Linked DNA regions of Elephas maximus indicus. The protein of the gene in region 2 purifies or fractionates together with the protein of the main gene of each other region. This does not show direct contact. Links are inferred from orthologs where the notes say so. Each region holds a gene or a part of one and is shown on either strand. Other genes may lie near its edges. The genes, in order: IFT57, CORO1A and POC1A.

Region 1 (8,003 bases), on a different chromosome or scaffold from region 2:
AACTTGGCTGCATTATTTGAATCAACTGAACTAAAAAAACTCAAACCCATTGCCATAGAGTCGATTCAGACTCCTAGCGACCCTACAACACAGAAGAGAACTGCCCCATAGGGTTTCCAAGGCTGTAATCTTTATGGAAGCAGACTGCCACATCTTTCTTCCGTGGAGCAGCTGGTGGTTTGAACCTCCAACCTTTCAGTTAGCAAGTGAGTGCTTAACCACTGTGCTACTGGGCTCCTTTGAATCACCTGAGGAGACCATAAAAAATATTGATGCCCATCCAAACATTGCCTCTTCCCTCATCAATGCATCAAATCAGAGCTTTTGGGAGCAGAGCCCCAGTATTTTAAAAGCTCGCTAGATGGTTCTAAGGTACAGAGAGGCTTAAGAAGTTCATTCTCACTCTAACAAACATTTGTTGAAATTTGCTAAATCTCCTAGCCGACTGAAAACAGTCCTACGAAGATCAATATAATTTACACCTAAATATGTGTGGAACAAAACATGTTAGCAACAACATTTGAGTCAGTTTGATCAAAAATCTTAATTTGCTTTTTTTATTTGTAGCTATTACTATTATGTTTATATCATAGTTATCATTGCCACTTTTCATAACAATCAGCAGCCTGCTTCTTCATGTTTCCCCAACTTTTTGTCCTGCGATAGGTGTAAATGCTCTGAATGGTAACATATAGTTGAGAAAAAAAAAAAAGCCGGGCAGCGGGGCGGGGGGGGGGGGGCATGAAGCCCTTCCAGGTATGTGTTTACAACCCTTTCAAAGCACCCACCCACCAACAACTCATCTTTTCCTTACAGGATAATCCCTCGAGGACAGAGAATAGGTACTGATAGGCCTAGGTCAGTGGTTCTCAGACTTAAGTGTACACCAGGACGACCTGGAAGGCTTGTTAAAACAGACCGCTAGGTGCCACCGCCGGAATTTCTGATGCCGTAGACTTGGGAACAGGTCTGAGAAAGTGCGTTTCTAGTAAGTTCCCAAGTGAGACTGATGCTGCTGGTCTGGTGGCCTCACTTTAGAGCCACTGAACTAGGGTATCTCCGCTTGGATCCATGATTCAAAGTATCCTGCTGAACCCCTGAGGAAACCGTACAGAGCTGACAGCAACAGAAATCTTGAGGTCATTTTCCTTTAGCTTCAAAAATATACTTGGAAAAAAAAAAGTTATCATTTTGATTAACAGAAAATATAAGCTGTCTATATTAACCTGATCAATTCATTCTAGTAACTCCCAATCCCACAATTTAAATCATAGATCAAGCAACACTGCTTCTTTTCCCTCTACTTTTCTGCCGTTAAGAGCTGACTTAGCAATATCGACAGTACCCATCCAGCCTACCTAGCATGAACCAAGAAAAGCACTTGCCGTGCAGTCAAGGGGATTAAGCGTCCTAAGAGAGCAGAAGAATGAGATGGAAACTGTCAAGGGAAATTATTTGAGTTTACCTATAGGTATTAAGAGGAAGTGCTAAAGATTCCTAATCTACCTGTTATACAACAAGATAAACACCTGTGAGCTCTAACGTGATGACAAAGCTATAAAACGTTCTTGTCGGGCCACAGCCAGGCTACCCCGATTGGAGGATAAAGTGCTCCCGTCCGTTCCCTTCAGCAGCTAACGGCACTGCCTTCAGGATGTGACGAACTTTGCCCACCAAGAGTAAGGGCTGAACTTTAGGTTCTAGGGTACGGGGACAATTCCAGGGGTTGTCGTTTTCTTTGTCTTTCCCACTTTCGGTTTCTGAGAGTACCACAGCAGTCAGTCAACAAGCTCACTAACTGCAAACAAAGTGCTCAGCAAGGTAGTAGGAGGGGCCGGTTCTCAGAGAGGACAACAAATACTGGACAGAGATCGGAACGGTAACAGCACCCGTCTCTGGGGACGACACTATGGGTGATTTTAGTATTTTTCTACACACAGTTTCTTGTGCTTTTCTAAGTTATCTAGAGTGGATGTTTTTATTCCTTTTAGAACCGTAAAACACAGCCTGCGTTTTTTGGAGGTGCCTGTGTATGTTTTAAACAGGAAGGCTGTCTCCCAGTCCTTCCTGCCGCTCCCAAACCTGTTGCTCCACAAAAATGCCAAGTCGGGGCCCTCGGCCGCCAGCTTCGGGGTGACTGCCCGCGCGCGCTCCGGCCGGAAGGTGGAGGCAGGGCTCGCGGACCCGCTCGGCGCCCGAAGCAGGCCCGACGGGGAAGGCACCTCCCCGGGGCCCGGCCGGCACCCAGGCGCCCGGGGCGAAGGGACCCACCTGGACGGGGGCTTCAGGCTGTCCTTCCGCAGGACTTCCTCCTCATAGCGGAGCAGCTTCAGCTTCTCCAGCAGGTCCTCCATCACCACGAACATGTGGTAGGCCGCGCCGGGCCCGCGCTCCACGGCCACCTCTCCGGCTCCTTCGCCGCAAGGCCGAGATACCCCGTCCTCCAGGCCCGACGGCGTGACCACCGCGGCGGCGGCAGCCATCGCAGGACAGACAGAGAGACTCCGGCGAGGGCTCCGGCCTCCGCCGCCCGCGCAGCGGCCGCCAGGACCGCCGCCTCCCGTTGCTAGGCGACCATCGGGCAACTCGTCACCAGGGAAACTAGACTCCGCCTCCATCCCGGAACCTCCGCGTCACTTCTAAATTCCCTCCAACCGGGGCGGGCCTTCCAGGTGACGTCACCACGGACCCCGCCCCTCCGACGGCAGGGAGGAGGTGGCTCGGAGGCAGCCCCGCCCCTGGAGGCGTGGCGTTCCGTGCCCCACGTCCGGCCGCGCCTCTTCCCGCGGCGGCTTAAAGGCGGGGCGGGGCCGCCCGCGTTCGTCTCAGCCTCCCCGGGGGCGGGGCTTCTTGCCCGGCTGTTTGCTAAGGGCCGCCCGCGTTCCTTTCAGCCTCTCCGGGGGCGGGGCCGCCCGTGTTCCTGAGTCTCAGCCTCTCCGGGGGCGGGGCCGCTTGCCCGACTGGTTGCAAAGGGCCGCCCGCGTTCCTCTCGGCCTCTCAGGGGGCGGGGCCGCCCGCGTTCCTGAGTCTCAGCCTCCCCTGGCGGGGGGGCCCCGGCTTGCCCGGCTGGTTGCTAAGGGCGGCCCGCGTTCCTGAGTCTCAGCCTCCCCGGGGGCGGTGCTTCGTGCCCGGCTGGTTGCTAAGGGCCGCCTGCGTTCCTGAGTCTCAGCCTCCCCGGGGGCGGTGCTTCGTGCCCGGCTGGTTGCTAAGGACCGCCGGCGTTCCTGAGTCTCAGCCTCCCCGGGGGCGGGGCTTCGTGCCCGGCTGGTTGCTAAGGTTGGCCCGCATTCCTGAGTCTCAGCCTCCCCGGGGGCGGGGCTTCGTGCCCGGCTGGTTGCTAAGGACCGCCGGCGTTCCTGAGTCTCAGCCTCCCCGGGGGCGGGGCTTCGTGCCCGGCTGGTTGCTAAGGTTGGCCCGCATTCCTGAGTCTCAGCCTCCCCGGGGGCGGGGCTTCGTGCCCGGCTGGTTGCTAAGGGCCGCCCGCGTTCCTGAGTCTCAGCCTCTCCGGGGGCGGGGCTTCGTGCCCGGCTGGTTGCTAAGGGCCGCCCGCGTTCCTGAGTCTCAGCCTCCCTGGGGGCGGGGCTTCGTGCCCGGCTGGTTGCTAAGGGCCGCGGGGCCGGCGCCTGGGCCTGCTGGTGGGCAAGATGAAAGGGAGACCGAGAGGCTTAGTGTTGATAACTTCGCTATCCCGCTGATTTTTTTTTTTCTTCTCAATATTGAAAGTTTTCAAGGCAGTCGATATTGTAGGTTTCACTTTATCGCAGGAATTTTCAAAGAGAGAGTCTTCTTAAAAAACTTAACCTCTACCTTGTGAGGCAGTGGTTTATTTGATTTAACGGCGTGTTATAATACGTGACGAAAGGCCCATCGCCACCCGAGTGCTCGGAAGGGGCTTGCTGGGGAGGCGGTGGAAGAGGACAGACCGAGACGACGAGCAAAACGGGGACCTCGGGAGCGTTCGTTCTGCTCCCAAAACCACGCTCCGCTCAGCCCGCTGCCCAGTGGTTTAAGCCCATTACATGCAGCATGCAGCTTTGGGGTACCTTGTCAACACCAACAAAATAAAGGAGATTATCTTGCAAGAATCTCCCTGCGCTGTAGTCTTAAAGGGAGCCCTGGTGGCGTAGTGGTTCAGTGCGACGGCTGCTAATGTAAAGGTCGGCGGTTCAAATCTGCCAGGCGCTCTTTGGAAACTCTATGGGGCCGTTCTACCCTGTCCTGTAGGGTCGGAATCCACTCCACTGCAACGGGTTTGGTTTTTTGGTTATAGCGCTAAATGCGGCTAAAGACCAGGTGGTACTTGTTACTTGCTATTGACCTAAAATATACATGCAAGAAAGGGGACTAACTGACCACTATATGGACCGGCTTTCCAGTGCTCGGCAGCCTGTGTATGGAGCAGCTTTCCTAACAGCTGTCCTATAGGGTCGCTATGAGTCAGAATTGACTTGATGGCAATGGGTTTTTAATGGGTCACCGAAAGTATGAGGTAATTGGTAGATGCCCGGAGGTTTCCTGAGGGATGAAAACTTACCAGATTGAACACGAGTTTTGTGTTTAATGTGAGGGATCTCTGATCTCTTGTATCTGCCAGTGAATATATAGAAGAGTCGCACTTTTTGACATAGCTGAAGTTTTAAATGTGCCTGTAATTGTTGTTGGTAGACGAAATGAGCAGAAGAGCACTTTCATTTTAATATCCATCTAGAGCTCACGAATTTGATACTGATAAAAGTATCAAAGTGAAAAATCATAAAGGCAAATACCTTTTCCTAGTTACGAAAGAGAGGAAATACAAAGAGGAAAAGAAAAAAAAAAAAAAACACCATAAAACTGACCTATGTAGAAAGTAACTCAAAAGGGAAGGCCAACTGAGAAATGCTTTTTAAATAACATTGTTTCCATGATGAGTCATTAATCAGCTTTTTTAAAATAAAAATAAGCACGAAAGTTGGGTTTGACTCTATCCCACTGTCAAACTGGTCTTTCTTTTTCTTAGCCCTGTGGAAGGAGTGATTCTTCCCCATACATCCCCACTACCACATGTTTGGGAAGTGTAGTGTGTTGTGGTATGCGTGTATAACTTTCAGAGCACAAAACAGCTGGATATAGCTTTTTAGGATGAAAAAGAAATCAGTAAAAGCTGAGATACATACTTTGGGGTGTTCGGTCAAGCAGCCTGTGGCTTTTAAAATGACTTTGAAAAAGGTGTCAGAAGTCAAACGGTAAATAGGTTACACCTAGGAAAATGGATGTCCACCTGGAGCATGATGCCTGCATAAGATGCTCTGATGTTTTCAGGACTTGTATAGCATGTAGTGTGAAGTAGTCAAGCATTGCTTTTTGGCTGATGAGAACTCTCCAAAAATGATGAATGTACTTTCATGGGGTGGGGAGACTCTCCTAGAACCTAGCTGTTTCCTTCTCAGGTACAATATTGACTTAGCCTGGCTTGAAAGCTGTTTGAAGAATTATTCTTCCCTTTTTAATTTAGTCTTAAAAAGAAAAAAAGCAACAACACTAAAACAAAATGTCCCCAATAACTGTAGTGGAGCCCTGGTGGTGCACTGGTTAAGAGCTTGGCTGTTAAACAAAAGGCCAGCAGTTCAGATCCACCAGCTGCTCCTTGGAAACCCTATAGGGCAGTTCTACTCTGTCCTATAAGGTTGCTATGAGTCTGAATTGATTCGATGGCAATGGGTTTGGTTTGCTTTTTCAGTAACTGTGGGAGCACAGAGAGAATGAAAGAAATAAAAGAAAAGCCAACTTTTGAACACTGTGTTTTCCCACAGCAAAAATGTGGGGAAGAACAGTAAAATGTCATTTTATTTTTATAAGTCTCAGGAGTAATTTTTCCTGATTCCTTAGTTACCCACAATAAATAGTCGATAACACACCAAAAGGTCTTTTCCTTGATGGAAGTAGTATCCTTCACGTATGTGAGCAAACCCACACTCAAATCCTGTCTGAGCCACTTGGAAACTTTTGAGTACCTTTGTGTTAGTTTTTTTTTTTTTTTTTTTTTTACAGGACTGGCTCTGAAATGCATTGACAAAGGAGTGAGGACTTGAAGAGAATGTAATGTCGAAGTATGTTCATGCTGCCTTTAAAGGATCTTAAGAGAGATTTATCCCTGGCTCTACTGTGTTACCACAGTTCATAGCTGGGCTTTTGACTTTGATCTTTTGCAAACTATCTATAAGATGACCAGAGGTGATTTTGAGGCCCTCAGTGTCTTCCAGTGAATGGCCTAATCTCTGAAAATGGAATAACTTCTCATTCAAAGTTGACTGAACAGCATTCCGATGAAAGTTTATTTAAGCTAAATAGATTTCTCTGAAAGTACTTAGCAAGGCTGGAGGCGAAAAGGAGATGGGTTCAAAGACTGAAGAAGGCTTTCAAGCTGCATCTCCAAATATAAGAACAAGTCCTCCAAGAAAAGTGGGCAGGCTTAAAGAACCAAGCTGCTTTGTGTTATAAAGTGGCTTAGTACCACTCATTCATGGCTTTAAAAACTTAGAAAACCACTAACTGAATAATGCTTCTCTAATCTAATAAAAAATGTCTGCTAAAAATCTAGGGGAAAAAAGTCATATTTAAATATGACGCATTAGATGCCATGACTTCTAGAGCTGAGATCAAGGTGAAGACATTCATTCTGAATTCAAAACTGTACTAGAGATCAGAGTCGGTGTACAGAGACAAAAAAAAAATTAAAAAATAGGGGTATTACAAAAGAAAAAAAAACTATTGCAGTTGATATGATTGACTAAGTAAAATATCCAAGAGAATCTGCAGACAGGCTACTAAGACAGCACAGCAAGATTGCTGTATGTGATATCCAAATTAAAGAAAAGTTATTAGAAATAGTAGTTAGGAAAAAAGAAAGAAAACAACTCTCAATAACAAACCATATATAGTACCTAAGAGTAAATCTATCATTATCTTTGTGGAGAAATTACTAAACTTTATTGAAAGTCATGGAAAAATCTAAATAGGGGTATAATGTTCATGGAAAGAAAATCAATATCTTTGCCCAATCTATAAACTCAGTGGAATTTCAACTTGAATTCCTAGTGGGTTCATCCTGAAATCCATATGCAAATTTTAACGAAGCTTGAGGAAGGGATCACCACATCTGATAGCAAGATTCCTAATAACAGCATAACTTAAAATAATGATATCACACAAATAAGGAGAAAATGTAGTGCCTGAAAATAGGTGAAGGTTTATGTAGGGACTCTGTATATGACAAAGTCAGTGTTACCGATTAGTGGAGAGAGATAAACTATCCAATGAATGCTGTTGAAGCAATGGACAATCCATATGGAATCAATTACATCTCTGATTTTCATCACACAAATTGCATATGGATTAAAGATATGAATGTGAAATATTTGTTGGATGTTTAGAAAAAATATAATAAAGTATCTTTAATCTGAAGGTAGGGAAGGATTTCTTGAAATAAGCAAAAAACAAATTTTAAAGAAAAAAAAAACTAACCTATGTTGTACTTAGGTAGAATAAAGGATCTATAAACACTGAAGAAGATATAATGCCAGTTGTTTAGTCTCTAGGCCCCTGTGCCATGCTAAAGGGTTTTAGGTGTGTTTTAGTTCAGGGTTTCTTGACGCTGGCATTTTTAACATCGTAGACTTGATAATTCTTTGTTGTTGAGAGCTCTTCTGTGCATTGTGGGATGTTTAGCAACATCCCTGGCCTCCACCTGGTAGATGTCAGTAGCACCCCCACCCCCAACTGTGACAACCAACAATGTTTGGATTAACCAGTAAGCAAGATGTTCATGGGCTTACAGTAAGCCAGATAGGCACAGACTTACTTGTGTTTACTTGCTAAGATGTGGTGAAACTCATGCGAAATTGTGCACTACGGATTTCTGGCACCATGAGATGCGCTCTGGAGTGTGACTGGCACCACAAAACGTGTCCTAATTTGGGGTAAGAGAGCTGGACTTTGTACCTACATTACTTGGTTATTGGCTG
Region 2 (7,638 bases):
CTCTTTGCCCCAGTCCCAGAGCTATCTGGGCAGACCCCGGGAAGGCTGGCCACAGGTAGCGCAGGATGGAGGTGTGGGCTTGGCACCAGGTGGCACTGGGTCCTTTTCCTGCTTGCTGTGTGACCTTGGTCAAGTTTCTTATCTCTATCTCAGTTTCTTATCTGTGCCCTGAGAGTCAGCACCAAGTGGACTCTCTGGTCTCCAGGCTGCCCCCAGCTTTTCCTGTCGGGGTGAGGCTTCCATGGGTAAGACAGGCCAAGGCCCTGCCCCTGGTATAGGTGTGTGTGCGTACAGTGTGAAGGATGGGTCGAGTTGGGCTAAGGTTCTGCAGAGAAGTGTGTGTGAATGGTAGGGCTACAGGGATGGAGAGGGGCTGGGGAGATCTGTCATAACTGGCCCCTAGGAAAGAGCAGAGGTTTAGAAATGGCCACTTCCGGGGACAGCTCGTGCAGCAGCGCTTCCTGTGTGCAGAGCCGCCCAGGGTGCGGGCCCAGCTCTCACCCCAACAACCACTTCCTCTTCTCTTTGCCTCCATCGGCCCTTTTAAGGTAACAACCTAGGGCCCATCTCCCCTTCCTGTCTCACCCTCCAAAGAGCATAGGAGTGTGCTGATAGCAGAGGTCAGCGGACAGCAGGGGAAGGGGGAGCAGGATCAGAGGGGGCAGGGTTGGGGGAAGGGAGAAAGCCTCTTGCATCATCCATGCCTGTGAGCTGGGGGCTGGGGCTTCAGCCTGGTTACTCAGGCAGGACCAGACTCAGGGTACTCCCAGCCCCTGAGAGCAGTGCTGGGCCTGCCCAGCCCTCATCCCAGCCCACTGTGTGCTCCTGACCGGAGGAAGCCCTGGGCTGAGACTTGGGAGACCAGGCCCTGGAACTGCATGGACTCACTGTGTGACCCTTCTCATGTCATCTCCTGCCTCTGAGTCTCAATTTCCATATATCCACCGCATGTACGAGCTAGAGGAACCTTAAGGCTCATCTGGCCCAGCCCCATTTTACAGATGACAATACTGAGGCCCAGAGAGGCTTGGTGACAATCAGGAACCCCAGGGACCATTGGATGGCTAGAGGTACCCTTTGGTGGAGGAGCTGCTACTCCAGGGTGCCAGGGGCTCACCTTGCCCAGGGGCAGCACCAGGAAGGCCCCTCCCCCACTGGCTTCACAGATCAAGGCCACAAACTTGGGGTTGACGGCGCAGAAGCCACTGTCCCAGGTGGTCTGTGAGACCCGCACATCCTCATAGCACTGGTCGGCCTTGGCTGGCTGTCCGAACACATGGCGGAACTTGCTGGAGCGGACCACCTGCCGGCTCATCCTAGGGACACACAGGTCGGGGCTTTTTCTCCCTTCAGGCCAACTCTGACCTTACCTGGCCCCCTACCTTTCCCAAGACACCCCTCAGTCTAGCATGGAGCCATGAGCTCATTTCCCCACCATCATCTCCTGGGGCTCCTGCCCCTTACTCTCCTCTTGGGCACCCCGCTACCCCCACTGTTAGCCTTCCCCACCCCCTCCTCACTCCTGTTTAACCTGCAAGGCCTGCCTTCACCCAGCCAGGTCACTCTAAGCCACCCCTCAATTCTGTGTCCACAGAGCATGGTGTGGTGCAGGCAACCTAGTGCGTATTTGTTGGTGGATGACAGCCTTTTCTTTCTAATGGTTCAGTGTTGGGGGCCTCAGCCCTGGCGGTTTTGAGGATGGTTCTTTCTCGGTCACGGTCACGATGCTTAGACCTCACATCCCTCGCACCCACATGGGGAGCTTCCAGAAGGCAGGGGCAGGGGCTGGCCCACCCTCCCCTGGCACACGGCTGAACACACAGGAGGCAGTGGCGTGAAGGTTTGCCCAGGGGCATGAGGTGGCAGGACAGCTTCCCCAGGAGGTCTCTGGGCACCAAACACAGACAGATGGCTCCAGTCCCGGTATGGCCTCCTCCCCCACACCTCTGCCTCCCGCCTTTACTCAGAAAATGCAGGTGCCTTGAAGGGCCATCTCCACCCTCACTGCAACTCCCTGCAGGAAGGGAGAGGCTGGCGCTGGCTTCTCTGCCGTCCAGCTGGGGCCAGGCAGAGCGCATGAAGCCGAGGGGATTGCCTCCGGATTCCCCAGGCTCCAGCGCTGGTCCTGGCGCCACCTCGTCTCCTTCCTCCCCAGTGTAGGGCCCGTGTTGCCTCCTCCGAGGGACCCCCAACACCTCTGCACCACCCTCCCCCCGGCTGGCTGCACCCATTTTCTCTGCCCTCAGGCCTGTGCCCTTCTCAATGGGGCTCCAGCCCTCCTTGCCCACCCTATGACACCCTCAGGAGGCTGCTAGGTCTGCTGCCCATGGGGGTGGGGGTGAGGAGCATGTGTGAGAAGCAGCCTGGGGCGGGGTCAGTCGCAGGTGACAGGCCTGGGCCTAGGGAGAGGGGAGCCCCAAATCAGAGGCTGGGGGGCAGGAAGCCAGGGCCCCATCCTGCCTCCTCCCTCACCACAGGTACCAGGCCCGGAAACCATGAAAAGGGGAACTTGGTCTTTTCTTGTTTTGCTCTCAACCCCTTCCTGTCTCTAAGCTCAGGACAGCAGCTCTCCTCACCCTACCCTGCCCCTCACCCTCTGCCCACCCCCAGACTCCCATTTTGGGAAGACTCAAGGCCAACATGTGTCCTGAACTCCTCTGCTCGAGCTGCAGACCCTCTGGGTTCTCCCACCTCCATCTTGTCTGTGGTGGTCCCACACCCTCACCTCTTCAAAGCTCCCCAGACACACAGATGGATATGCACACACTCGCAGCCCACACTCAGGGCCAGTGCCCTCCATGTGGGGACGGTTAGAGCCAGCTCTCCCTGACAGTCTGTCCACCCCCACAGCCACGGCTCCCACGCTTACGCCTGCCCCACAGGTGGCCCAGGGCAGCAATGCCCAGCCCTCCAGCCAGCCCATTCCCTCTTCCCCAGAGGTCCCAGCCTTACCTGCTGCGAAGAGATGAGAGTGACCCCCCAGATGGAGGAGGAAGAAGAGGAGGAGGAGGAAGGAGCTGGAGGAGCTCGAGGCTCGCTGAGGATGCTCTTGTCAAGACAATGAATGAGAACCGCCGACCGCCCGCCTCCTTAGGGGTGGCAGTGCCCCTTTGGGGCGGAGCTCTTAAAGGGACTAGCCCTTCCCTCCTCCGGAGGGGCCCGCCCGCCTGCCTGGGACCCGAGCACCGCCTCCCTTCCCTTCCCTCCTTGGAGAACCTCAGTCAGTGCCTGACGCTGCCAATTCCGAACCAAAACAGCTGCCGTTGGATGGTCGCTAGGACTTTAATCTGAATTTTTTATAATGTCAAAATGCAAAAATACTCTGTTCTTTCTTCCCCTCTTCAGTCCACCCCCAGCCTACTCACCATCCTTTCACTGTTACTTGTAAGAGCTCCCGCCCCCACTTCGATCAGGCCTTTGTAAGAGCCCCCACCCCACCCCCAGCTAAGGCTGTGCTGCTTCCACCTTCCCCTTCCCAACCCCACAGACTGGGGTGGGGGGAGGAGGCGCGGGGAGGGTAGGGAGACAGGACAAGGGAGAGCCAACTGGACCTGGGCCCAGGGGACCAGGGTTCTTGATCTGAGCCTGAATTTACAAACAGGTGGCCCTGGGAAAGTCACCTGACCTCTACGGGTCTCCTTCATCACTTGACCTGCCTGCTTCACAAGTCTGTGGTGAGGAACAAATGAAATTTTGGAGCACCTACTTTGTGGCACGGTGGTTAAGCGTTCAGCTGCTAACCAAAATGTCAGCAGTTCGAATTCACCAGCCGCTCCTTGGAAACCCTATGGGGCAGTTCTACTTTGTCCTATAGAGTCTCTGTGAGTCGTAATTGACTTGATGGCAATGGGTTTGTTTTTTTTTTTACTTTGCAAGGAGCTGCAGAGGTGAATAGTTGAGGGTCCCACCTTTAAAGAGCTCTAGTGGAGGAGGGACAAGCTGGTAACAGCGCTAAGGGTGCTAAACCAAAACCAAACCAAACCCACTGACTTGAGTCAATTCTCATAGAGACCCTACAGGACAGAGCAGAACTGCCCCATAGAGTTTCCAAGGAGTGCCTGGTGGATTCAAACTGCGACCTCTTGGTTAGCAGCCATAGCACTTAAGCACTACACCACCAGGGTTTCCTAAGGGTGCTAGATGGAGGCAAAGGCACAGCTTGAGAATCAAGAGGAGGGAGTTCATTTGACTCGGGCTCAAAGGAGGTCTCCTGGAGGTAACAGCACAGGAGACTGGAAGGGCCTACTCTAGAATGAGATTGTTTTGAGGGTTTGACTCCTGGCTGTCACACCTACAAAGTAACTTTGGTTACTCAGCCTTTTTCAGCCTCAGTTTCTTCCTCAATAACAGAGTCATATATCTACCTCTCAGGATTATGGAGATGATTAACTAAAATTATCCAAGGAAAGCAATAAGCACTGTGTCTGGAGCATAGCAAGTGCTTAATAAATGTTAGCTCTTATCATTATTATTGTTTACAGAACCATTTGGGCTGGACCTGGAAGGATGAGAAAGAGCCAACAGATACAACAGGAAGAGAGTCTTCTAGGCTGAGGGGCAGCCAGAGCAAAGGAACACCAAGGAGCTGGTTCACCACTTCTTGGCTGGGTGATCTGGGGCTAGACCTTGGAGTACTTACTTTGTCCAAGGAGTTGTAGAGGTAAATGAGTCAGGGTCCCACCCTTAGAGATTTGGGGCTGCTCCAGAAGACAGACATAAGGCCAGCGCATGGAAGTTATGGGGAAGCACAAGAGTTACTCCAATGGTAGGTGGTGGAGGCCCTGGCACGTGGCTTATGAGTGTTTAAGAAAGGGCTGATGCCTTCTGTGGGGTGTGCTGGGGTGGGTGTCCCTGAGGGTAGCCTCTCTTGTTGCTGGCCCAGCATCTTTTCTTACACTTCCCTTTACTGGTGGCAGCACCACCATTTTCCTTCGGTGACTCAGCCTTTCCTCACAGGCAGTCTGTGAGGTTTGGTTGGGGATCCAGGGTAAGCATAGGATGCAGACTGACCCAGTCAAAGCAACCTTTTTGGCTGGTTCAGGGATGGCTACATGACTGAAGTCTATACAATCAGAACCAGACTTATCTCGGACCTGCTAAGAAAAAGAAGCCTTCTTCCCACTGGGGGTTAGTAAGCTGATATGTTGGAAACCCAGCACTGGTCATGGCCATCTTGTCGCCATGTAAGAAAAGCTTGTCAGAATGAGTCCATACAAGGATTGCAGAGGCGAGATATAAAGGCTGACATATTCGTGACATCATTCAAGTATCTGGATCAAGCTGTGCCTGATCCCCTTACCCTTTCTCTTACATAAGACAATAAATTCCTTTTTGTGTGTGTAAAGCAGTTTGAGCTGGATTCCTGGCACTTGCAACTGAAAGGGTTCTGACTGGTACACTCACCCGGGAGGGACACTGGACCAGGGGATCGTCCAAGGTGCCAGATACATGTGGTAAAAATTGACTGAAATAGTGAACTATGGGATAAAATCCAAACGCCTTAGCGATGCCTGTAAGACCTTCTCTGATCTGTCCCACCCTAAAGGGGCTGTAGAGTTTGATGGAGACAGCCAGACCTGGAAAACCCTAGCTTTATCATCTCCTCGCTGCCCCTGAACAAGTGATGTTTCCTCATTTACAAAATGTACGCCATCATACTCACTATAATATAAAGACTAATTGAGACCACGTGTATTAAATGCCATGCCTCGTGCCAGTAATCACCCATTATTGTGTTGGCATACTTCTCCTCTCCCCGGATGTCCTAACTGGAGAAAGCCTGGCCCTAGAACCATGCAAGTAACATGTTGTCCTTGGGAAGTCACTTCCATTTGGGGCTTTCTGCCCTTCAAACGGTAAAGTGCCGTATAAACATATGGAAGGGACTGTTATTTCCCACCCTTTCTTATTCATTCATCCACCCATCTATCCATCCGCTCACCGGGTTATTATGTCCCAGGCAGTGTGCTTGGTGCTGGGGATCAGACACTAATTAGACACATCTCTGCCTTAGAGCACACCTGGCCTAGAGTGCCCTGAGACTTAGTTCCATGCCTTTAGGTGGAGCTGTAGGCAAAAGAGGAGTCCCTGGGTGTAAACAGTTAATGTGCTTGGCTGTTAACCGGTGGGTTGGAGGTTAAAGTCCATCCAGAAAGCCCTCAGAAGAAAGGCCCTGTGATGTACTTCCAAAAAATCAGCCACTGAAAACCCTGTGGAGCACAGTTATACTCTGACACACATGGTGTCACCATAAAGACAGAGTCCTGAGAACACTGTCAGAGTCCCTGGATCCAGCCATACTTGAAGCTAGCCCTTTTCAGTTACATAAAGCAATAAATTTTTTTTTTTCCCTTAACTAAGTTTGAGTTAGGTTTCTTTTATTTTTTTAGTTTTTGGTGGAAATAAGGTTCTATTTTATCTGTTCATTTAATTTTGAGTTAATTACATTTTTAAGCTTTTATTCTAGACATTTTCAAATACACAGCATAGAAAGAATTGTATTTAAGAAACCCCCTTTCACCCATCACCCAGCTTGAATAATTATCAACACATGGCCAATATTGTAAAACAAATTCCATACCTCATAGCATTTCAACTTAAATACTTCAGCATTTACCTCTAACAGGTAAGGACTTCTCAAAAAAAAATCTCTTCGCATGTTCAATAAAAATTGCATTAAATTTATAGGTTAATTTGGGAAGGATTGACATCTTTATGATAGTCCATCTATGAATGTGGTATATTTCTCCATAGATGTTATGTCTTTTATGTCCTTCAATGTAATTGTCAAAATGGCATGGGAGGGGCATCTGACCTCCCCTAACTTCACAAAGAAGGAGAATCAAGATCAACAGCCAAAGGCTGACTCCTGTGAGGCAGAGGTCAGACATGCCTCCTCTCTCTACCACTTCTACCGGTTCTAACACCAACTGTCCCTCCCCCAGTACTCTCTACTTGTCTGTTGGGTTCAATAATTCATTGCAATGGTCACACAGAACTCACAGACAATACTTATGATTATGGAGTTTATTAGGGAAGTAAGAGGTTACGATTCAGGCTCAGGAACGTTCAGGATACAGTTCTTCCATCAGGACAGCCTCGTCCGCTGTGCTCGCAAGCATGCCTCTCTCTGGCCCCTTGGCCTCTGCCCTACTCAGGCAAGTGTTACAAAGCTCTTCTAGCTCTGCCAATAATGTGGCCAGAGGCACCCTACTCCACCAGTAAGCCTCGGCCCAAAGGCACTCAGCTTTCTCGCTCTGTGGGCCAGGAAACCCACTGCACCGTCACTCTTGCCAAGTCTCTCCTGCCGTTTCTCTGCCACTGCTTCTTGCTGTCTTCAGTGCTACAGCTCCTTTTCTCTCTCTCTCTCTTTCTCTCTATCTCCCGGTTCCAGAAGCTTCTCAGTGCAGGGATCCCGGGCCCAAAAGACACACTCCACTCCTGGCTGTTCTGCCTTGGTGGTGGTGGGATCCTCTCTCTTCTCTGGAACTGTCTCTTTGTAAGCCTAGCAGGATGACAAAACTGACCAATACCCTTGGTGGGCCACAATTACCTTATTTGTACAGTCCCACCCAATCACTGGGTGGGAGTTACAAGAGCACGGAAAGACCACATAAAAGTGATCCATTGCACCACAAT
Region 3 (7,045 bases), on a different chromosome or scaffold from region 2:
TCTCTCTCTGTCGGCTCTGGAGCAAGGTCCTTGCCATCAATCTTCCCCCAATCTAGGAGCTTCTCAGTTCAGGGACCCCGAGTCCAAAGGACTGCTCTGCTCCTGGCACTACTTTCTTGGTAGTATGAGGTCCCCTGTCTCTCTAGTTGATTTTCTTTTATATCTCAAAAGAGTTTGACTCAAAATACAACCTAATATATTCACACAGTGGAATACTATGCATCAGTAAAGAACAATGATGAATCCATGAAACATTTCACAACATGGAGGAATCTGGAAGGCATTATGCTGAGTGAAATTAGTCAGTTGCAAAAGGACAAATATTGTTTGTGACCACTATTATAAGAACTCAAGAAATAGTTTAAACACAGAAGAAAATATTCTTTGATGGGGAGGGAGGGAGGGAAAGGGTATTCACTAATTAGATAGTAGACAAGAACTATTTTAGGTGAAGGGAAAGACAACACAGAGTATAGGAGAGGTCAGCACAACTGGACAAAACCAAAAGCAGACAAGTTTCCTGAATAAGCCAAAAGCTTCAAAAGCAAGAGTAGCAGGGGCAGGGGTCTGGGGATCATGGTTTCAGGGGACAGCTAGGTCAAGTGGCACAATAAGATCTACTAAGAAAACATTCTGCACCCCACTTTGGTGAGTGGCGTCTGAGGTCTTAAACGCTAGCAAGCGGCCATCTAAGATGCATCACTTGGTCTCAACCTACCTGGAGCAAAGAAGAATGAAGAACACCAAAGATACAAGGTTAACTATGAGCCCAAGACACAGAAAGGGCCACATAAATCAGAGACTACATCAGCCTGAGACCGGAAGAACTAGATGGTCCCCGGCTACAACCAATGACTGTCCTGATAGGGAACACAATAGAGAATCCCTGATGGAGCAGGAGAGCAGTGGGATGCAGACCTCAAATTCTCGTAAAAAGACCAGACTTAATGCTCTGACACCAGAAGGACCCCGGAGGTCATGGTTCCCAGACCTTATGTTAACCCAAGACTGGAACCATTCCCAAAGCCAACTCTTCAGACAGGAATTAGACTAGACTGTAAGATAGAAAATGATACTGGTGAGGAGTGAGCTTCTTGGCTCAAGTAGACACACGAGATCATGTGGGCAGTTCCTGTGTGGAGGGGAGATGAGAAGGCAGAGGACAGAGGCTGGCTGAATGGACACAGGGAATACAGGATGGAAAGGAGTGTGCTATCTCATTAGGGGGAGAGCAACTAGGAGTACATAAAAAGGTGTATATAAATTTTTGTGTAAAAGACTGACTTGATTTGTAAACTTTCACTTAAAGCACAATAAAAAATCATAAATAAAACCTAATCTTGCAGAGTGAGTCCTGCCTCATTAACATAACTACCTCTAACCCTGCCTCATTAACATCATAGAGGTAGGATTTACAACATGTAGGAAAATCACATCAGACGACAAAATGGTGGACAATCACTCAATACTGGGAAACATGGCCCAGCCCAGTTGGCACACATTTTGGGGAAACACAATTCAATCAATAACATCAGCTACGCCTGGACAGGCCCGTAGTGACATCACCACAGCTGCCGCCGCCGCCGCCACTTAAACAACATCAGAGAGCAGTAGGGCCATTCAGGCACTGCTTTGGCAGACAAAGGCGAGAATATTCTGGGGAATTTCTCCAGAGACACAGAGCTCCTGACTCAGCCATCAAAACATGTCCCACCACCCCAAACATCAGAAACCTCAAAGAAGTATCTTGGGTGTCCCCAGGGAGCTCAGCAAGCCCTCCTCTTGGGAAAGGATGCCCTTGGGGTAGACCAAGGCGGCCACCACCCCACAGAGCTGTGCCCAGCTGCACCCCCAACACACCTGCCTAAGTCCCTTTTCAACAAGAGGCAATGGCAGTTGGGGCCCCCACAAAATAGTAGTAAGTAACTGCCTCATGACCACCGAGCTGTCACCTGAGCTTCTTGGAAGAACAAGAGCAAGACAGTGTCCACCTCTAGGCTCAGTGCACAGAGGCAAGTTCAGGTGCACCGCTGACTTGGGGGCCCTTGAAGCCTCCCTCAAGCCCCCCTCCCTTAATCCCACAGGTTCTGTGTTCCCCATAGGCCAGCCTCGTCTCCCCCAATCCAGTGGTTTATTCAAGTGTGGGGGGGGCACCAAATTAGTGGTCAAAAGGCCTGGATCTTAGTCTGGGCCCTCTGCCCAAATCCCCAGACACCGAAGGAGGCCACAGGCTGCCACCCAGCCTCCCTGACTCTCCACCCAGACAAAGGGCCAGGCTGGTTCAAAACAACCCGCAAAAAGAAGGGGGCTTTTCTGAGCCTGGGACTCAGAGAGGATGGCCAATCCAGGCATCCCAGCTGCCCGCTGTTCCCTCCTGTCGAGCTGGACGTGTCCTCAACAAGGCCCCCATCCAGCCACCCACTGCTCAAGATGGAGATACTGAGGCCAGTGAAGCCCGACGCTGGCCCCAGGTCACACCTCGAGTCGGGCTATCCCCCACTAGAATGCAAACCCTGGGACATGGACTGGTTTCTTCGCCCCAGCGGCCCTGCACAGGGCCTGGTACGAAGGAGGCGCTCAGTAAGTGTCCCGACTCTGCGCTCCCTGCACAAATGGGTAAACTGAGGTAAGAGAGGATCGGCCCGGAACCCGGCGCCCCATCCGCTTCTCTCGCAGCCATCACGCTGGCCAGGCGCCCGCTGCCCCAGCGAGGAGACTAAGACCGGGCGCCCGCCGCTGCCAGCAGAGACTTACCGGGCAGGGTATAGCCATCGCCGGGCTGGGGTCGCCCGAGGAGCCCCGAGAGCTCTAAGAAGCAGCGGCAGCAGCCGTTGCGGCCCGTTCAGTTTCCGCGCCCCCAACCGCCGCCAATAGCAACGCGGGTCGCGCCACCGCTCCCCGCCTACTGCAATTAAAGGAGAGGCGGCCCGCAGATTTTTGTCCCCCGACCGGAAGCAGCGCTATATTGCCAGCTCCGTGGTCTCGGCGCCCTCCGCCCAGTTGCGCCAGACCAGACAGCCCACACAAGGCGCTGCTAGAGGCTTCTGTCCGCTGTTGCTCATTTCTCCACAAAAATTAAAAAAGCTCAGGAAGACAACTTTCCCCACCTGCCTGTTGCCCTGCTGCCATGCCGGCGAGCAGAGTCTTCTGGGAAATGCAGTTCCAAGCCGCCCCGCATTATCCTGTCTGGAGAAAGGAGGAACTACATTTCCCGAGATGCCATGAGGTAAGGGCCGGGTTTCGAGACCCCAAGCGAGGGCCTTAAGGGTCCCGGAAGTGGAGGACACGTGGCCGCCGTGTTAGTGTTGTCTTAAAGCACCAATGCGCACAGGCGCAGCTGGTTTTTCGGCAAGATTCCCTTGAAAGAACCAATTATTCGCCCCTCCGGAACTCTTTAAATCGTTCGCCTGTCCTAACGCGCGTAAAACAAGGGTTGATTTAAAAGAGCACAAGTCCCTCGGAAGTACATCCATGGAATGAGAGTGACTTGGGTTCTGATCTGGACTTAAAACCTGTTCGGTTTGAACCCCTGGAAGAATTTACATTTCCACCACAAATGTACTGAATCAGAATTTACATTTTAACAAGATCCCCAGGTGAGTCTTATGTATAATAAATTTTGAGGACAGAATTGGCCCCTAACCAGCAGCCGTAGCAAGGCCTCGGAACTTGTATACAGCAAATCTCAGCAGGGGTTAGAACTGGAATGAACTGGTTCGAAGCCCTGGTTCCGATTCCACTTCTTGCTTCGTTGTGTGACTTTAGGAAAACCTCATCTGCTCTCTGGGCTTCAGTATCCCCATTTGTAGTATGAGGGCATGTGATATGGCCTGACCCTCTAAGGAGCCTTTCAAAACGCGAGCCCGTTGCCATCGAGTCGATTCGGACTCATGAGCCTTTAGACCTGAGAAAACCGCTTGCCCTCAAATCCATTCCAACTCATGGTGATTCCACGTGTTTCAGGGTAGAACTGTTCCGGAGGATTTTCTTGGCTATAATCTTTTACAGAAGCTCATTGTCAGGCCGTTCATCTGCAGCGCCGCTGGGTGGATTCTAACAGACCAACCTGTAGGTTAGAAGCGGAGTGCAAACCGTTTGGGCCACCCAGGAACCTGTCAGACCTGAGGAGCTATGATAAATTATTGTTGCTGTTGTTACGTGTCATCAAGTCAGTTCCAACTCATAGCGACCCTATGTCTCACGGAACAAAACACTGCCCAGTCCTGTGCCATCCTCACAATTGTTGCTATGTCTAAGCTTATTGTTGCAGCCACGGTGTCAATCCATCTTGTTGAGGGTCTTGCTCTTTTTCGAGGACCCACTATTTTACCAAGCATGATGTCCTTCTCCCTTCTGATGTTTAAATGAAGGAAGAAGGCAATCCAGGGGCCTGCCACCAGAGCCCGCCCCTGCTCACTTTCTACTTCGGCAGGCCGGCCCAGACTTTTCCTTTACTAGGCCTCACTCCTTCGACTCTATGACACTGGGCCTGGGTTCTGGGTAGGCCTCACTCCGGGCACATTCCCTACCTGAAGCTGACCTGGACCGGATGTTTTACAAGATTCTGGAACCTTCCATCACCTCCTCTGGGCAGATCAGGTTGGCCAGACTCCACCACTGATAAGCATCTGGCACGCCCTTAGGTTTATTACTGCATGCTGAGATGGTGTCCCTGCCCCTGCAAACCAGAGCCTGGTTCTGTAAACTCAGAACCTGCACTGGGGGCAGCTGTATGTGGAGCAGCAGGTATCTCATTCGACTCTGGAAAATCTGGGGCCAGATATAAGAAGCACCCAAACCCAATGCCGTCGAGTTGATTCCAACTCCTAGCGACCCTATAGGACGGAGTAGAACTGCCCCATAGAGTTTCCAAGGAGCGCCTGGCGGATTCAAACTGCCAACCCTTTGGTTAGCAGCCATAGCCCTTAACCACTACACCACCAGGGTTTCCATAAGAAGTACAGGTACATTTAATCTCATCTTCCCTGTGATTTGGCGTAGAAATGTTTGGCTACTATGAAACTCCCCATAAAACAACTACACGCACACCTGTTCACTCACACACACCCCAAAACTGTTCACTGCTGCTCAAAGGACAGTTTTCGAGCCTTCCCACCAACATTGGCATCTTATTCAGATGTTCTCTTGCCTGCCAGCCAAACATTTAAGGGGGGAAGTTAAGGAAGAAAAAAATCTATATACAGTACAGAAAAAATCTAATCAGTTAAACTTAAGGGTTCTTTTGTCGTTAGGTGGTATTTTGTCTTGTTTTTGTCAGTTGTTCCTGTGGCACACCCATATTATCTTAGTCACCTAGTGCTGCTGCAACAGAAATACCACAAGTGGATGCTTTAACAAAGAGAAATTTATTCTCTCAGTCTAGGAGGCTAGAAGTCCAAATTCAGGGTGCCAGCTTCAGGGGAAGGCTTTCTCTCTCTGGCTGCTCTGGGAAAATGTCCTTGTCATTAATCTTTCCCTGGGTCTAGGAGTTTCTCAGTGCAGGGACCCCAGGTCCAAAGGTTGCATGTTCTCCTGGTTCTTATTTCTTGGTGGTATGAGGTCCCCATGTCTTTCTGCTCTCTTCTCTTTTATATCTCAAAAGTTCTGCTTCATTAACATAACTGGCTCTAATCCTGCCTCATTAACATCACAGAGGTAGCATTTACAACATGTAGGGAAATCACATCAGATTACAAAACAGTGGACAATCACACAATATTGGGAATCATGCCTTAGCCAAGTTGACACATATTTTGGGGGGACACAATTCAACCTATAACACATGCCCTATAGGAACTCATAAATTAGAAAGGTGAATTTAAAGAAATTCTTCTGTAAAATGATTTTCAAATGTCAGGTTTGCTCAAAGTGAGAGGCACTGGAAGATTTTCCTCACCCTCCCTCGTCTTTCCAGACCACACTGTCTTGTACCCTTACCTACCAGGGAGAAGGAGCTCGTGATTCTATTACCCCCCATCTTGTTCATTTCTTTGCCAACAATTGCAAAGAGGCTGACTTTGCCAACGCCGCATAGACAATCCAGGATCTACACTGGTACAACCTTTATAAACCAAGATCAGTGCCTATACTTTCTGACAGGGCAGTGTCCCCCCACCCAAGTGCTACCTCCATCAGGTTAGACTGTAGTTCTAACCGTGGCCTTCATGTTTGGGGGACTCAATGTTGAGGATGCTCCATGGTGGGGGGTGAGAAGGGAGCTTCTTTTTCAAGACCCTTCATGGCAAGGATGTGCCCTTCCTGTTGCAAAGCCCATCAGCAGGCCTCCTACAAGAGCCTCTAGCCCTGTCATCACTCCCCAGCCCCCAGCCCAAGGGCCAAGGTCACTCTGGGATGGCAGAGAAAAGAGGAGGAAGGACAGGGTGATCCCCGCTGGCCTAGCCCAGCCCAACCTGGTAAACCCCGATCTGGAATCCTCCCTGCCTGGAAAGCCCCATCAAGGCCATCAAGTCTGCCCCGCACTACTGATGCACTACTGTTGGAAACTCTAAGCAGAGCAGCCCAGGGCTTGTCCCAGGGTCAGACAGATCTGGGGGTGAATCCAGACCCTGCCACCTCTGAGCTGGGTGACCTAGGAGGAGTCACCTCACCTCCCTGAGCCTCAGTGTCGTCGTTTGTAAAACAGGCATAATATGTTTTCCACAGTGGAGGAGAGAGGATTCCGTGAGCTATAAATTCATGCCAGAGCTTGATGTTGAGTTGTCACCTAATACATGTGGCTTCTTACTACAACCTCAGTCACATCACGTCCCTCCATTGCTCCAGTGATCTGGCCTGGCTCTCTCTGCGTTGGCTCCCACCACTCTCCCTGGCTCTCTCTGCCCCAGCCACATTGGCCTTTCTGCTGTTCCTTGAACGAGAATGTGCCAAGCACACTCCCACCTCAGGACTCTTGAACTGGCTGTTGGCCCAGTGTCCACTTAACTCAGTTCCTCCCTTCCATCAGGTCTTTATTCAGATGCCATCTTCTCAGCGTGGCTTTCCCAGACTACCCTATGTAAAATGTCAGCTCACCACTCACCCTTTC

The links.
Region 1: the proteins of CORO1A (region 2) and IFT57 purify together in Homo sapiens (affinity purification with mass spectrometry; 3 studies listed by BioGRID and IntAct, counting the BioPlex papers as one, with this or other methods). This does not show direct contact. The link is inferred for Elephas maximus indicus from reciprocal best matches to the Homo sapiens genes CORO1A and IFT57.
Region 3: the proteins of CORO1A (region 2) and POC1A purify together in Homo sapiens (affinity purification with mass spectrometry; 3 studies listed by BioGRID and IntAct, counting the BioPlex papers as one, with this or other methods). This does not show direct contact. The link is inferred for Elephas maximus indicus from reciprocal best matches to the Homo sapiens genes CORO1A and POC1A.

The regions. Positions count from the first base shown.
Region 1 is NC_064836.1:80,386,939-80,394,941, forward strand, and holds the start of IFT57 (intraflagellar transport protein 57 homolog), read right to left. Parts: upstream 3,080-8,003; 5' UTR 2,619-3,079; coding exon 2,272-2,618; intron 1-2,271. UniProt on the Homo sapiens protein: Required for the formation of cilia. Plays an indirect role in sonic hedgehog signaling, cilia being required for all activity of the hedgehog pathway.
Region 2 is NC_064830.1:89,072,777-89,080,414, forward strand, and holds the start of CORO1A (coronin-1A), read right to left. Parts: upstream 3,076-7,638; 5' UTR 2,953-3,075; intron 1,317-2,952; 5' UTR 1,316-1,316; coding exon 1,118-1,315; intron 1-1,117. UniProt on the Homo sapiens protein: May be a crucial component of the cytoskeleton of highly motile cells, functioning both in the invagination of large pieces of plasma membrane, as well as in forming protrusions of the plasma membrane involved in cell locomotion.
Region 3 is NC_064838.1:56,371,075-56,378,119, forward strand, and holds the start of POC1A (POC1 centriolar protein homolog A), read right to left. Parts: upstream 3,079-7,045; 5' UTR 2,773-3,078; coding exon 2,755-2,772; intron 1-2,754.